Canis lupus familiaris: one gene and its partner. The protein of the gene in region 1 purifies or fractionates together with the protein of each later gene. This does not show direct contact. Links are inferred from orthologs where the notes say so. Each region holds a gene or a part of one and is shown on either strand. Other genes may lie near its edges. The genes, in order: SLC34A2 and ENDOD1.

Evidence for each region.
Region 2: the proteins of SLC34A2 (region 1) and ENDOD1 purify together in Homo sapiens (co-immunoprecipitation; 3 studies listed by BioGRID and IntAct, counting the BioPlex papers as one, with this or other methods). This does not show direct contact. The link is inferred for Canis lupus familiaris from reciprocal best matches to the Homo sapiens genes SLC34A2 and ENDOD1.

Annotation. Positions count from the first base shown.
Region 1 is NC_049224.1:85,283,168-85,289,681, reverse strand, and holds part of SLC34A2 (sodium-dependent phosphate transport protein 2B), read left to right. Parts: intron 1-222; coding exon 223-418; intron 419-1,143; coding exon 1,144-1,239; intron 1,240-1,656; coding exon 1,657-1,777; intron 1,778-2,977; coding exon 2,978-3,145; intron 3,146-4,495; coding exon 4,496-4,612; intron 4,613-4,706; coding exon 4,707-4,831; intron 4,832-6,322; coding exon 6,323-6,514. UniProt on the Homo sapiens protein: Involved in actively transporting phosphate into cells via Na(+) cotransport.
Region 2 is NC_049242.1:6,017,026-6,023,539, reverse strand, and holds part of ENDOD1 (endonuclease domain-containing 1 protein), read left to right. Parts: intron 1-4,049; coding exon 4,050-5,252; 3' UTR 5,253-6,514. UniProt on the Homo sapiens protein: May act as a DNase and a RNase. Plays a role in the modulation of innate immune signaling through the cGAS-STING pathway by interacting with RNF26.

The DNA of each region.
Region 1 (6,514 bases):
CAGGCAGGGGTCTTTTCCCCTATGCTTGCTGGCCCTCAGTTTCCTCGTCAGCCAGCCAGATGAGGATATTGGTACCAGCCACTTGGGCATTGCTTGGAGCGTGTAGATGTGGACGTAGAGAGGTGACTTGCTGGCAGATGGTGCCATCAAGGACCTGCCCGGACTGGGGCCCACTTGCTTGCTGACTCTTCTCAATGTTGGCTCCGGCTGGGGTTCTTATAGGGCTTTCGCTGGAGCTACTGTCCATGACTTCTTCAACTGGCTGTCCGTGTTGGTGCTCTTGCCCCTGGAGGCGGCCACCCATTACCTGGAGGTCCTCACCAACCTGGTGGTGGAGACCTTCAACTTCAAGAACGGAGAAGATGCCCCCGCCCTTCTGAAAGTTATCACCGATCCCTTCACGAAGCTCATAGTCCAGGTAGCCCGGCTCCCTTCAGAGAGGGAAGGAAGGAACTAACTGCCCCCCTGCCCCCTCCCACTCCTCCCAACCGGAGAGAGATGGTGGACAAGGATGAGGGCCTATAAACACTGCTTGCTCTCTGGTTGCCTCTGAGAAAGGCCAGAGGAGCCAAGACTTCAAGGGCACCTGCCCTTGAAGAGTAACCAGCCTTCTTCATTTCCTTGACTTTGCATGTCATCTTTATTGGGGTGGGAGCGGAGTGGAGGGTGGCAAGTGCTTCTCAAGACTCAGGACTCTGGATGCTTGGGGCCACTTTATTCCCCCTACTGACCTCGGCACCCATGGGCTCACTGATAAAGGATTATCCTGCTCATACCCCCCTGCCCCCCAGGCTGATTGAACTATTATTGAAATAAATCTTAAAAGGTTTTGTGGCTGTTGCCTTGAAAAGTGGGTCAGCTTAGACCTTGCCCTTTATCACCCTTACCGTCTGGGCTTTGCTGTCACCTGATGACCTTCTACTGTGTGTTTCCCAGCTACCAGCCCACTGTTTCTACAGCCATTCCCTTATTTCTCAAGCACCTGCTAATGTCTGGGTGCAGTGCTCCATCCTGGGAGCATAGACGGAGCAAGTCAGAACCCACTGGGCTTATGTTGTTGGAGCCCCTTCCATAGAACCTCCTATGTGTCTGTCCCACATCAGTGCTGAGACCTGCTGACCCTTTCCTGTCTGTCTTCCTCAGCTGGATAAGAAAGTCATCAATGAAATTGCAATGAATGATGAAGCAGCCAAAAACAAGAGTCTGATCAAGATTTGGTGCAAGACTTTTACCAACGTGGTAAGTTTCTAAGGATGTGGCTGGGTGGGCAGACTCTTGGATCTGTGGGTTCAGCAAAACCTTGAATTCAATGTGGGCAGATAAGAGGTCAGAGGAAGTAAAAATTGGCCCTGGGAATCCTTAGGGAAGCAAGTCTTTGAATGCTTGATGGACAGATAATGCAGTAGGACAGATTCCCTCTTGCCCCACCCGCACCTTGGAAAACATGTTATTCCTGGCTTGATATTTTCATGTCTCTTGGCTTATCTATGGCTCCCTGTGTTCCCATGAATGGAGGGACCCGTCGCAACAGTGCATCATATTTTAGAGACACATGCATTGACATGTGTCTCCTCCCTGCTGGCCACACTGCCTGCAGTCCCCACCAACAGGGAGATGGTGGACTCTCTATACCATGTGTCGATGTTTGTCTTCCAGACTCAAATGAATGTCACCGTTCCTTCGTCTGAGAACTGCACCTCCCCTAGTCTCTGTTGGTCGGACGGTACCTACACCTGGACTCTCAAGAATGTGACCTATACGGAGAACATTGCCAAGTGTGAGTGGAGCTCAGCAGAGCACCAGCCACTGGGCTGGGCTGTCGGGGTGGGGGTGAGGGGGTGCTGACGTTGTCCTTTATCACAAAGATGTGCTGGCCTGAAAAGACCACGGAAAGCCTCGTTAGGAGGGCAATGGGGCTCCCCAAGGCCAGTGTGAAATGCAGTTAGTGAAGGAAAGAAAGGCACGGAGATTCATTGAGCACCAACATCATACCAAGTAATGAACTGTGCACTTTCACAGCAGCGGGAACTAAGGTTTCGAGCCAGGTCTGGGGTCCCACCAGGAGGGGTGGAACCAGGATTTGAATCCCAACCCCTCTGGCAGGTCCATACTGCACTAGAGCTCATCTGCAGATTCCAGAGGGCTCCTTCTGTCTGCTTTGGTGTATCCCTTGGGCTCTAGGGAGATACCAACCAGACCTGTAGGAGATGTAAGGCCCACACAGAACAGAACAAATACATTCAGCCCGAAGTCATGAGTCCCTGCTGTACGGGAGGCCCCCTTCCAAGCCCTGGAGCCACAGCACTGAACAAGGCAGTGAGCCTACATGATGCTCCGATTCTTTAAGAAGCTGGACTGTTGCCCTGGGAATCATGGGTCCAGACATCCTTAACTCTTCTAACCATGTGTGTGTCTCTGCTTCCCTTCATCCTCTCCACGCCGCCCATGTTAATTCTGAGCAGTAGATTCCAAGTGTGGCTCACCTCACAGCATCAATGAGTTTATCACCTCCCATGTTCAAGATGCTATACACCCATCAGTCAAACCCTAGAATCCTAGGGCCACACAGGACTTCTTAAAAAATGAGGCTTACAACTGGCAATAGCTCCTACTCTGACTTCCCCATCCTACCCCACTTGGCTCTTCAAGCTCTTCGAGGTATCAGTCGCTCTCAGGAGTAAAACACACCGTGAGACGTAGAGGTAGAAGAAAAGGCCCCGACCAGCTCTGTAACTGGAAGGATTTTACTTCATGTTCTAGCCTCCTAAGGTCCCATTGGCCAGAACATGGCCTCAGGGTTACAGTCAGCTGCAAAGCAGGCCGGGAAGTGTGGTCTTTGTTCTGGGGTGCCATATGTTGAGCCAACAACCCAGATTCTGTTACTGTAAAGCAGAAGGATGATGCTGGGGAATGAAGAACAATCGGTGGCCTCAGAGCCCCACTGGCCTCTAACAAGGGCTTTCCCTGGTCCTTTCAGGCCAGCACATCTTTGCAAATTCCACCCTTCCGGACCTTGCGGTTGGCATCATCCTGCTGTTGGCCTCCCTGCTGGTCCTCTGTGGCTGCCTTATCACAATCGTCAAGCTCCTAGGCTCCGTGCTCCGGGGACAAGTAGCTGTGGTCATCAAGAAGACAATCAACACAGGTAGGCACACCCTCACCCCAATTCTGGGCTTTCTAGGGCATGGCATCACTGGGGCCACCCCGGCGGTGGGGAGGTTCCTTTTAGATTTTCATCTAGCAATGGCCTCTGTGTGGAGTTTTTCTCTTGGATCTGATAAGCTGAAGAAGATGCCCTTTGCCCTTGAGATCTTTTTTTGTGTCTTGGGTGGAGCCTGGGCACCAGTGTCTATCACATCTGAAAGGTCCTGAGAAAGAGCCAGCTCATATCCAGAGATCTATGAGATAGGCCTTCCTTCCTTCCTGGCAGGTTTCCCCATGCCCAGGTCTTTCGGGTCTGTCAGAATCCCTTAGAGAAAGGGTAACGGATGCCCTCTCTGCTCCCCACTTCCCTTCCACTCTTGGGAAGAAAACATGGTTCTAGATAACCCATCACCATCTTGAGGCAGCCAACACAACCCCAGTGGCCAGGAGAAGCCCCTGATGCTTATGGCATCCTGGCCAAGCCAAGGATGTCGCCTCCCCATGAAACCTTCATGAAACAGGGCCAGGAATATCTACCTCTGAGGGCTGTCCCCAAGGTTGTCATGTGGCTGAGCTGGGTGACTGTGGGGACCTGCTGGGTGTGCAGGGCCTGATCCCGTGTGGGTGTTGCCGAGAACTCAGCGTGTAGGACTTCCAAGCTGCTGCCCTTTGCTTCCGTGCCCCTTCAGAAAGGTGGAGGATTTACGGCATTGGGAGAGCACCGTGAGTGCTCCGTGGGAGGAAGGTGCTTAATTGGGTGGTGTCCTAGTTCTGATTCTATAACAAATTATCGGAGGCTGGCAACACTTGTCACAGTCCTGGGGGCTGGGAAGTCTGGCATTGGGGTGCCAGCACGGTCAGGCTCTGAGGTCCCACTTGCTGATGTACAGATGGCCGCCTCCTTGCTGTGTCCTCACATGGAATGAGTAGGTCTCTCTCCTGTAAGGGCACTAGGCCAGTCAGGAGGATTCCACCCTCATGAACCAATTACCTCACAAAGGCTCTACTTCCTAATACAATCACATGGGGTTAGCATTTCAACATGGGAATTGAGAGGAGACGCTTAGTCCGCGACATGTGTGTTCAGCATCTCTACTTCCGAATTCAGTGAATGCGTGTATTGGTCCGTGGTTCCACCATCTGAACATGCAAGGTGAAAGGATTCTAAAAATCCAATTTGTAATTTATGACTATTGTGTGGGGTGGGGAGGCTTCTATACAACCTGACCCTCTAGCCCAGCCCATACTGCACCCCTCCCCACCCCGGTCCTCTGGAGGGGCGAGCTAGGCCTCCAACCCAGCCCTTCCTTAGAAAGTCTGTGACAGATCTCCTTTCCTTTCTGTCTCCTAGACTTTCCCTTTCCCTTTGCCTGGGTGACTGGCTACCTGGCCATCCTTGTGGGGGCAGGCATGACCTTCATTGTGCAGAGCAGCTCCGTGTTCACATCTGCTATGACCCCACTGATCGGTGAGTTTCTCTCTGGCTACCCTGTCTAGTTGGCTGTCACCACCTCCCATCATCCCTTGGGGCTGATACTATAGTTTTTGTATTTTTCTGCCAGGTATTGGTGTGATCACCATCGAGAGAGCATATCCACTCACACTGGGCTCCAACATCGGCACCACCACCACCGCCATCCTGGCCGCCTTGGCCAGCCCAGGCAATACTCTGAGGAGCTCCCTGCAGGTTAGGAAAGGCTGCGTGGGTGGGAGCCCGGGGGGGTGGGGGGACAGCCCCATTTGTGGTCTTACAAGCAGATGGTTTGGAACAAGAGCCAAGTTTTCTCTATCTTCAAAACTGTGAGGCCACCATCACTGGTGGTTGTTTTAAACAGAGGTGGGGGGCGGCCACTACACCACTTCCCATCTCCTCACCCCCCACTTGGGGAACTCTATTTGGATTTTGGGCAGTCACTTGTGCTCTGGGCGTAGAATTTAGAATTCTAAATTCAGGGCAGGTCCCCTGCCCTACCCGGATCAACCAGGTTACTTGGGCAAGAAGATCTTTGGCATTTGAACTCCGTCCTGGGTTTACACACTAAGCGACCTTAGACAGGTAACCTAACCTTTGAGCATCAATTCTCTCTGCAACCCGGGAGCCTTATCTCATTAGGATTATTCCAAGGATCTGATGAGACTCAGCCTAAAGCCATGCTCTCTGATAGATATACGAGTGTAGAATAGAAATTTGAGCCACCCATGTCATTTGAAATCTTTCCTAGCCATGTTTTCAAAAAGTAAAACACGATCAATCTTAATAATGTATTTGATCTAACTCATTATCATTTGAACGTGTAATTGATTTAAAAATTGGCGAGATGTCTCACCTTTTTTTTTTTTGGACGAAGTCTTTGAAATCTGGTGTGCATCGTGCGCTTGCAGCACACTTGAGGCCAGTCACACCTCCAGCACTCAGTTGCCACATGTGGCCAGTGGCTGGCGACCAGACAGGCTGGTCCAAAGCCCGTAGTGTGATGCCTGGCACCTGGTGGGCCCAAGGAAGTGGCAAAGTGCGTGGCCTCTGGAGCCAAGGCTGCTGGGGTTGGAATCCCACCTCCGCCATCTCCTGCGTGTGCAGGGAAGGAGCCTCACCTCTTCCTCAGTTGGCTCGACCACCACCAACATCAAACGAGGATAATGATGGTCTGGCAGCTCTGAGGGTATTTTTTGGAGGATTGAGGTACTCGTTGCATGTGCTTCCAACAGCTGCCTCAGCCTAGTGGGTGCTAAGATGAGCTGCTGCTGCCATTATTTGTACCAAGTGCAGCCCTCTCCCTGAACTCCCTCGGATGGGGCCGTGGGGACCCCCAGCTACCTAGCAAGCCTCTTCTTGGGCCCCACCAGCTGGGTCAAGCCCTAGGTTTCTAGGGTTTTGAGATTGATCATTGTGAATTTCAAACTCCTGGAGGACTCCAGGGGGCCTGGGCTGTGGTTCATCTGGTCACCTCCATCGGACATCCACCCACCTGCACTCGTCTGCACCCACCTGCACCCACCTGCACCCACCTGCACCCACCTGCACCCACCTGCACCCACCTGCACCCACGCACACACAGCAAGTTCCTGGGAAGGCCCAGCGGGCCCTTGGCGCTGCCCCAGAGGCCTTGTGATGCCCCTGCCATCACCCCGGCCTCACCAGGCACCAGACCCGCTCACCCCCACCCCCCTTGCATTTCAGATTGCGCTGTGCCACTTCTTCTTCAACATCTCGGGCATCCTGCTGTGGTACCCCATCCCGTTCACCCGCCTGCCCATCCGCCTGGCCAAGGGCCTGGGCATGCTCTCGGCCGAATACCGCTGGTTCGCCGTCTTCTACCTCGTCTTCGTTTTCTTCCTGACCCCGATGGCCGTGTTCGGCTTGTCGCTGGCC
Region 2 (6,514 bases), on another chromosome or scaffold:
GTTCGCTCGCACGCACAGAGACCTAGAACCCCTCCCCACCCTGCCCCTTTCCCTGGGTTGTGTGTGGGGGGCAGCAGGACCACCTTTGCTGATTCCTGTGAGCCCTGCTTCCCAACGAAGAGCCTCCTTACCTCCTGCCTTTACCTACAGACTTCTCCAACAAGCCTGTGTCTGTCTCAGCTCCCTCTTGCTTGTATCCAGTCAGTCTTGTCACCTGCCTCCCTTGCCAAACCCTCAGTGGAAATCGCCCTTTGAAGCCTCACTAAGGATTCTCGAATCCTCAGAGGTTTTGGTCTTTATTGTCATCCTTAACCTTCCCTCTCTGTGGTGGGTGCCACACTGTCGATCCTCTCTCACCAAAGCTTTCTCCTCCCCTGACTTTTGATGTGACCCTAGATGACTGATTGTCCAACGGCTCCATCTGTGTTTCCCAGTTGTGTCTTGTCCTTCTTGTGTCCTCCAGTGTGGCTACCCTGTGGCTCTCATGCTGCCTTCCTCATCCAAGGGCTGCTGCTGGCGGGGGGCTGGGGCTTTGGAGCCTGAGAATCTGGGTATAAACCTTGGCCCTGCCACTTAGATATTGGGTGACCTTGTACCCATTGCTTATGTGAGTTTTCATTTTCCTGTGTGTCAAATGGAGACAGTGCCTCTCCCATTGGGTTATGTGGAGAGTAAATGGGATGCAGCAGGGCAGTGCTTTCTGAATCGTAGTCATTTGCAAACGTGCTTTACAATTTTTGCCGTATCTGAGGTGATGGGGATCCCATTAGGATTAAAAAGGATGCTTTATATATAGACCATTTTCTGTGGTGCTTGGTGCATCACGAGTGCTCAGTAAGTGGAAGTAATAATTATCCCAAGATGAGTTATCTGTACATCAGATCATTTATACTCTGCTTCCTGCTTATCCTTTCCAATTCAGCTTTTCACTTTTACTTACGTAGAATCCTATTTTTGGGGTGCCTGGGCGGCTCATTTGGTTGAGTGTCCAACTCTTTTTTTTTTTTTTTAATTTTTTTTATTTATTTATGATAGTCACAGAGAGAGAGAGAGAGAGAGAGGCAGAGACATAGGCAGAGGGAGAAGCAGGCTCCATGCACCGGGAGCTGGATGTGGGATTCGATCCCGGGTCTCCAGGATCGCGCCCTGGGCCAAAGGCAGGCGCCAAACCGCTGCGCCACCCAGGGATCCCCTGAGTGTCCAACTCTTGAGTTTAGTTCAGTCCTGATCTCAGGGTTGTGCTCAAGACTGCTAGAGACTCTCTCTCTGCCCCTCAATGCCTCAAATAAGTTAATTAATCCTTAAAAAAAAAAAAAAGGAGAGAGAAAGAATTCTATTTTCACAGGCTGGTGTGGTCTCTACCCCCATGCCTTGATGCCAAAGTCTTGTTAAGCCTTAACTAACCTTTCGGTTTCTCTGTGTTCATCGAAGTCATGCACATCCTTCTAATCCCACCTCAGCTCTGTCTTCTCCAAGAAGTAAGAAGTCATCTCTGACTGCATTCGTTGTGCCCTTCCTTCCTTTGAAATTCATTTGCTCTTTTTCTTTATTTCATTTATTTTTTAAAAGATTTTATTTATTCATGAGAGGCAGAGATGCAGGCAGAGGGAGAAGCAGGCTCCCTGCAGGGAGCCCTATGCAGGACTTGATCCCAGGACCCTGGGACCATGACCTAAGCCAAAGGCAAGATGTTTAACAACTGAGTCACCCAGGTGCCCCTCTTTATATCATTTATTTAGCATCTATGGTAACCTGCATGGCACTGTTGTCTTTTTCTTGGTTTCCTATTTAACTTTGTATCTCATTTCCCCAAATAGATGGTGACTTTCTTAATGTGAAGGCCTGTCTTGAGGCATAGAAAACAGTAAGGACACCAGCCACGGGGCTGGACTTTCTGTGTTCATGTGGTGATGCCACCACTCACTGTGTGACCTTGAGTAGGCTTCTTAATCTTGATGTGCCTCAGTTTCTTCATCTGTCAAAAGGTGAGACTAATACCATAGTACCTCATTTTTTTGGTAAGTTTAAATGAGTGAAGACTTAGCATAACCACTTACTGATTTAATACATGTAAAGTTCATAGAATGGAACCTGGCATATAGTGTTCAATAAATGTTGATGGTGGTAGTGGTGATGGTTGTTCCCAGTGCTAATGCGTCCTTCTGTGGTACCAGTCACATGTAATATATGCTTAATAAATATTGTTGAATGGATGAATATTTCCCCTCCGGTCCTCTTTTGCAATTTTCTATCCATCTGTTTTTCTTACATGCATGTTGGCAGGAAAACTGAAAGTCTCCTTTCATTTAATTCCAAAACAAAAAGAAACCCAATGGGTTTAAATAGCTTTTATTGTCTGGTATAGAGACCAACTCATTGAGAGAGACTATTTTTTTCTTGGTACTAAGTTTGAAAAGGAATTCATTACAAGATTATTTATGGGACAGGATGCTTGTGGAGGGGAAGAGTTCATTTTTCTAAAACCTACTTAGCATGTTGTGATTAGGAAAAAAAAAAAAACTTTCCTTGAAACACAGGAACTGTATCCAATGACATGGGCAACCCAGTGGGACAAGGTCAGCAGGGATGTGGAGTCCACAGAGAGAGCTTTGTGCCTGTCCCTCCATCCTGAGATTCCACTGGGAAACCAAAGAGTGAGATTAGCGGTGCATGCAAGAAGGCAAGTGTAAACCAGAAGTGTAGTCTGAAATTACCTCTTATGTCATAGGCATATTTTTGTCCTCAGGGAGTGGTGTTGTCAGTAATTTACTATAATGGCAATAACCAGATCATTAAACTGTGTCTGCAGAGAGCATGGAAAAATACATCTGCCCTTTAGGTGACACTGTCTCAAAGAATATGTTAGACTTTCTTTTTTTTTTTTAAGATTTTATTTATTTATTCATGAGAGACACAGAGGCAGACACACAGGCAGAGGGAGAAGCAGGCTCCATGCAGGGAGCCTGATGCGGGACTGGATCCCAGGACCCTGGGATCACGACCCAAGTCAAAGCAGACACTAGACCACTGAGCCACCCAGGTGCCCTTATGTTAGACTTTCTAAACCAAATATTCTTTTTAGTCCAGTTTCCCATTGGTGAGTTAGGTATTTTAGTTACATACGCACTGATATTCCTTCAGAAATTGAGGCCTTCCAAGACAGATTCAGCTGTTCTGTAGAGCTAAGTAAGCGTGGTGATGACGGGGAGCTGTTCTACTGATCTTATTTAGTTATTCAGATGATTCTATAGCAAATGACACTAAAACACTAGTCAGCCGGGGATCAGAAGAAAGTTTTGTCAGAGGTTTAAAAAACTGGTCTTGAGACAGGAAGCATGAATCATAATGAGCTTTTCTGTCAGTAGAGGTCAGGGCTTGAACCATTATAAGACCCTAGGATTTTGAGGCACCTGGGGGGCTTAGTGGTTGAACATCTACCTTCAGCTCAGGTTGTGATCCTGGGGTCCTGGGATCGAGTCCCACATCGGGCTCCCTGCATGGAACCTGCTTTACCTTCTGCCTGTGTCTCTGCCTCTCTCTCTCTCTGCCTCTCTCTCTCTCTGTCTCTGCCTCTCTCTCTCTCTCACCCTGTCTCTCTCTCTCTCTGTGTCTCTCGTGAATGAATAATAAAATCTTACAAAAGAAAAAAAGCCCTGGGATTTCATGTTTTATAAATGATATGATAGAGTGACTTCATCGTGTAATGCCCGGGGTGTGTGTGTGTGTGTGTGTGTGTGTGTGAGAGAGAGAGAGAAAGAGAGAGAGAGAGAGAGTGTGTTACCACCTATCTCTTAAGTAAAGAGATCTCTTTACTTATCAGGCAGTAAATTAGGAAACAACCTATTCGGAAGCTGCTTCCAAACACAGGGTGGTGGGATAGCAGAATGAAGTGTATGCACCCCAGAGAACCAAGCCCTTCCAAACCCGGGCACTGGGAGGGCGGGTGCCCTGGGGACTTCTCTAGAGCCACGGCTCCAAGTGCAGGTGATTCATATGCACCCTCTCCCCTGTGAACAGGATGCATCTCAATACCTGCCCTCTTCTTTCAGATTGACGACCCCACCAGCACCCTCGGGGAGCTGACTGATGAGGCTGATGCCATCTCCTCTGTGAACAGCCTGGGAAGCAAGCAGGCCCTGAGTACAGATTATGTGGACCCTGATTACCAAAGGGGACAGCTGTACCCATTCTCCCTTAGCAGTGATTTCCGAGAGGCCACCTTCGCTCTAACGAATGCCGTACCGATGAGCCCGTCCTTCCAGGAGCGGTGGTACACGAATCTCCGCAGCCTGATGGAGCGGGCCCTGACCCCGCAGTGTGGCAATGGGGAAGACCTGTACCTCATCGCAGGCGCCGTGCCCTCAGATCGCATACTTCAGGACAGAGTGACCATCCCTGCGTTTGTCTGGCTGGCAGCCTGTTGTGCCATGCCCGGGGGTGGCTGGGCCATGGGCTTTGTCCAGCACACCCGGGATGGTGACATCATAGAAGACGTGATGGTGAAGGAGCTTGAGAAACTGCTTCCGTCTAACCCCCAGCTGTTCCAGGACAATTGTGGTGAAACTGAGCAAGACACGGAGAGAATGAAGAAAATCCTGGAGGTGGTCAACCAAGTCCAGGACGAGGAGCGGACGGTACTATCCAAGGAGGACACTCGTCCCCTCTCTAGCATGACCAGTGAAGGATCAGCTCTGCTGCCTCCGGAGGCACCGGAGGAGAGGAGGAGCTTCTTGGGTAGGTTGATGGGCTTCATCACTACCCCGGTCATCAGGCTTTTCCAGTTACTTTATTACGTTGCAGTAGGCATCCTGAAGAACATTATATATTTCCTGTGGTTTGTTACCAAGCAAGTGATTAACGGCATCGAGAATTGCCTTTACCGCCTGGGTTCAGCCACCATCTCCTACTTCTTGGCCATTGGGGAAGAGTTGGCAAGCATTCCCTGGAAGGTACTCAAAGTCATGGTCAAAATCATCAGGGCCGTGCTCCGGATCCTTTGTTGTCTGCTGAAGGCCGTTTGCCGCATTCTGGGCATTCCAGTCCGAGTCCTTGTGGACGTGGCCACTTTCCCTATGCACACCATAGGTGCAGTTCCAATCGTGTGCAAGGACATTGCAGTGGGCCTTGGAGGCACCATCTCTCTGCTCTTTGACACTGCTTTTGGTACTATGGGTGGTGTATTTCAGGTTATTTTTAGTATCTGCAAGAAGATTGGTTACAGGGTTACCTTTGACAATTCTGGGGAGTTATAGAACTCCAAAAAAGCTAGTAGTGTCCAGTTACAGTGAATTTGATTTTGTTTTTTTTAAAGAGAAAGCTGGAATACTTTGTCTTTACAATGGGTTTCTGTTCACTGTCAATTACCATTACATTTTGGCCTTTGGTAGGGGTATTTGCATGCTTTTGCAAAGGAAGATGGTATAATTAGGACTTGGCCAAAGATAGATGTGGGGAGTGAGATTATGTATGTGTAGGTCATCTGTGGGATATAGGCAAACTTCCAAATCATTAGAATCTTTATTCACTCTGCTACTGGATGGACCTCCTGAGATACTCTGGTGTTCATTTGTGGTAACTAGGAATTACAGAGAAGGGAAGAGTTAGCAAGAGTATAACCTTAATCCAAAGAGTTTCTAAGAAAATGGAAAAGAAATCTTGTTTCTGTTATGAAACTTAAGGCAAAACCTATACAAATGTTGTTGGTCGATTTGTTTTCATTGCTTCTCTTTCTCTCCAACTCAGCTGATCTTGGTGAAGTACAGACATGTTTCCCTGTTGAAATAACTTTCTTAGGGATAAGGAATTTGCTAGATCCCTGAGCTTTCCATGGCTTCCAAGGACCTGTAATGTTGTTTGGGGTTTTTTTCTTCCAAAGATGAATTTTGCTGCATTTTTCTTTTAGGTAATGATAAGGATTATGTGTTAAATGTGGCATAACAAAGTTTGAATGCACGGGCAAAAAACTGTATAATACGGTCCTCTCGGGTATAAAGAAGAGAGTGCAAGGGTCAGAGCCCTGTTTGAATAGGTGCTGTAGGTCTGAGAACATCCTTAGCTAAGCTTAGATTAACTTGATGTATATTAAATCTCTGGCTAAGAATGAGCTCAAAGACTGACATGTTGGCTACCATGAAAATTTGTACTCTCCAACATTCTAGATCCACCTTTGTTATGGATCAGACAAGTACCCATTACAGCAAAATACTCTGACCCCCACCTTAAATGATTGTTTTGGTTTAAATATATACAGAAGAACCACGAAAGAAAAACTATTCTATCCATCTCAGAAAAAAAAAATCCATATCCATATATATCTAAGTTTATGTAGGCATAAACTTGATTAAGAATCACTGTGTCTTAGGACATTATTTTTATAGCGTGTTTGAGGTTAGAAAACAACTCTCCTGTTAATGCAAGTTTGATTTAAGAGCTAATCCCTATTTTTTTGAAAAAGCACTTATCATTTTAAATCTTTTCCTGAAAGAGAAAGCAGAATCTTCCAAACCTTGCTCTG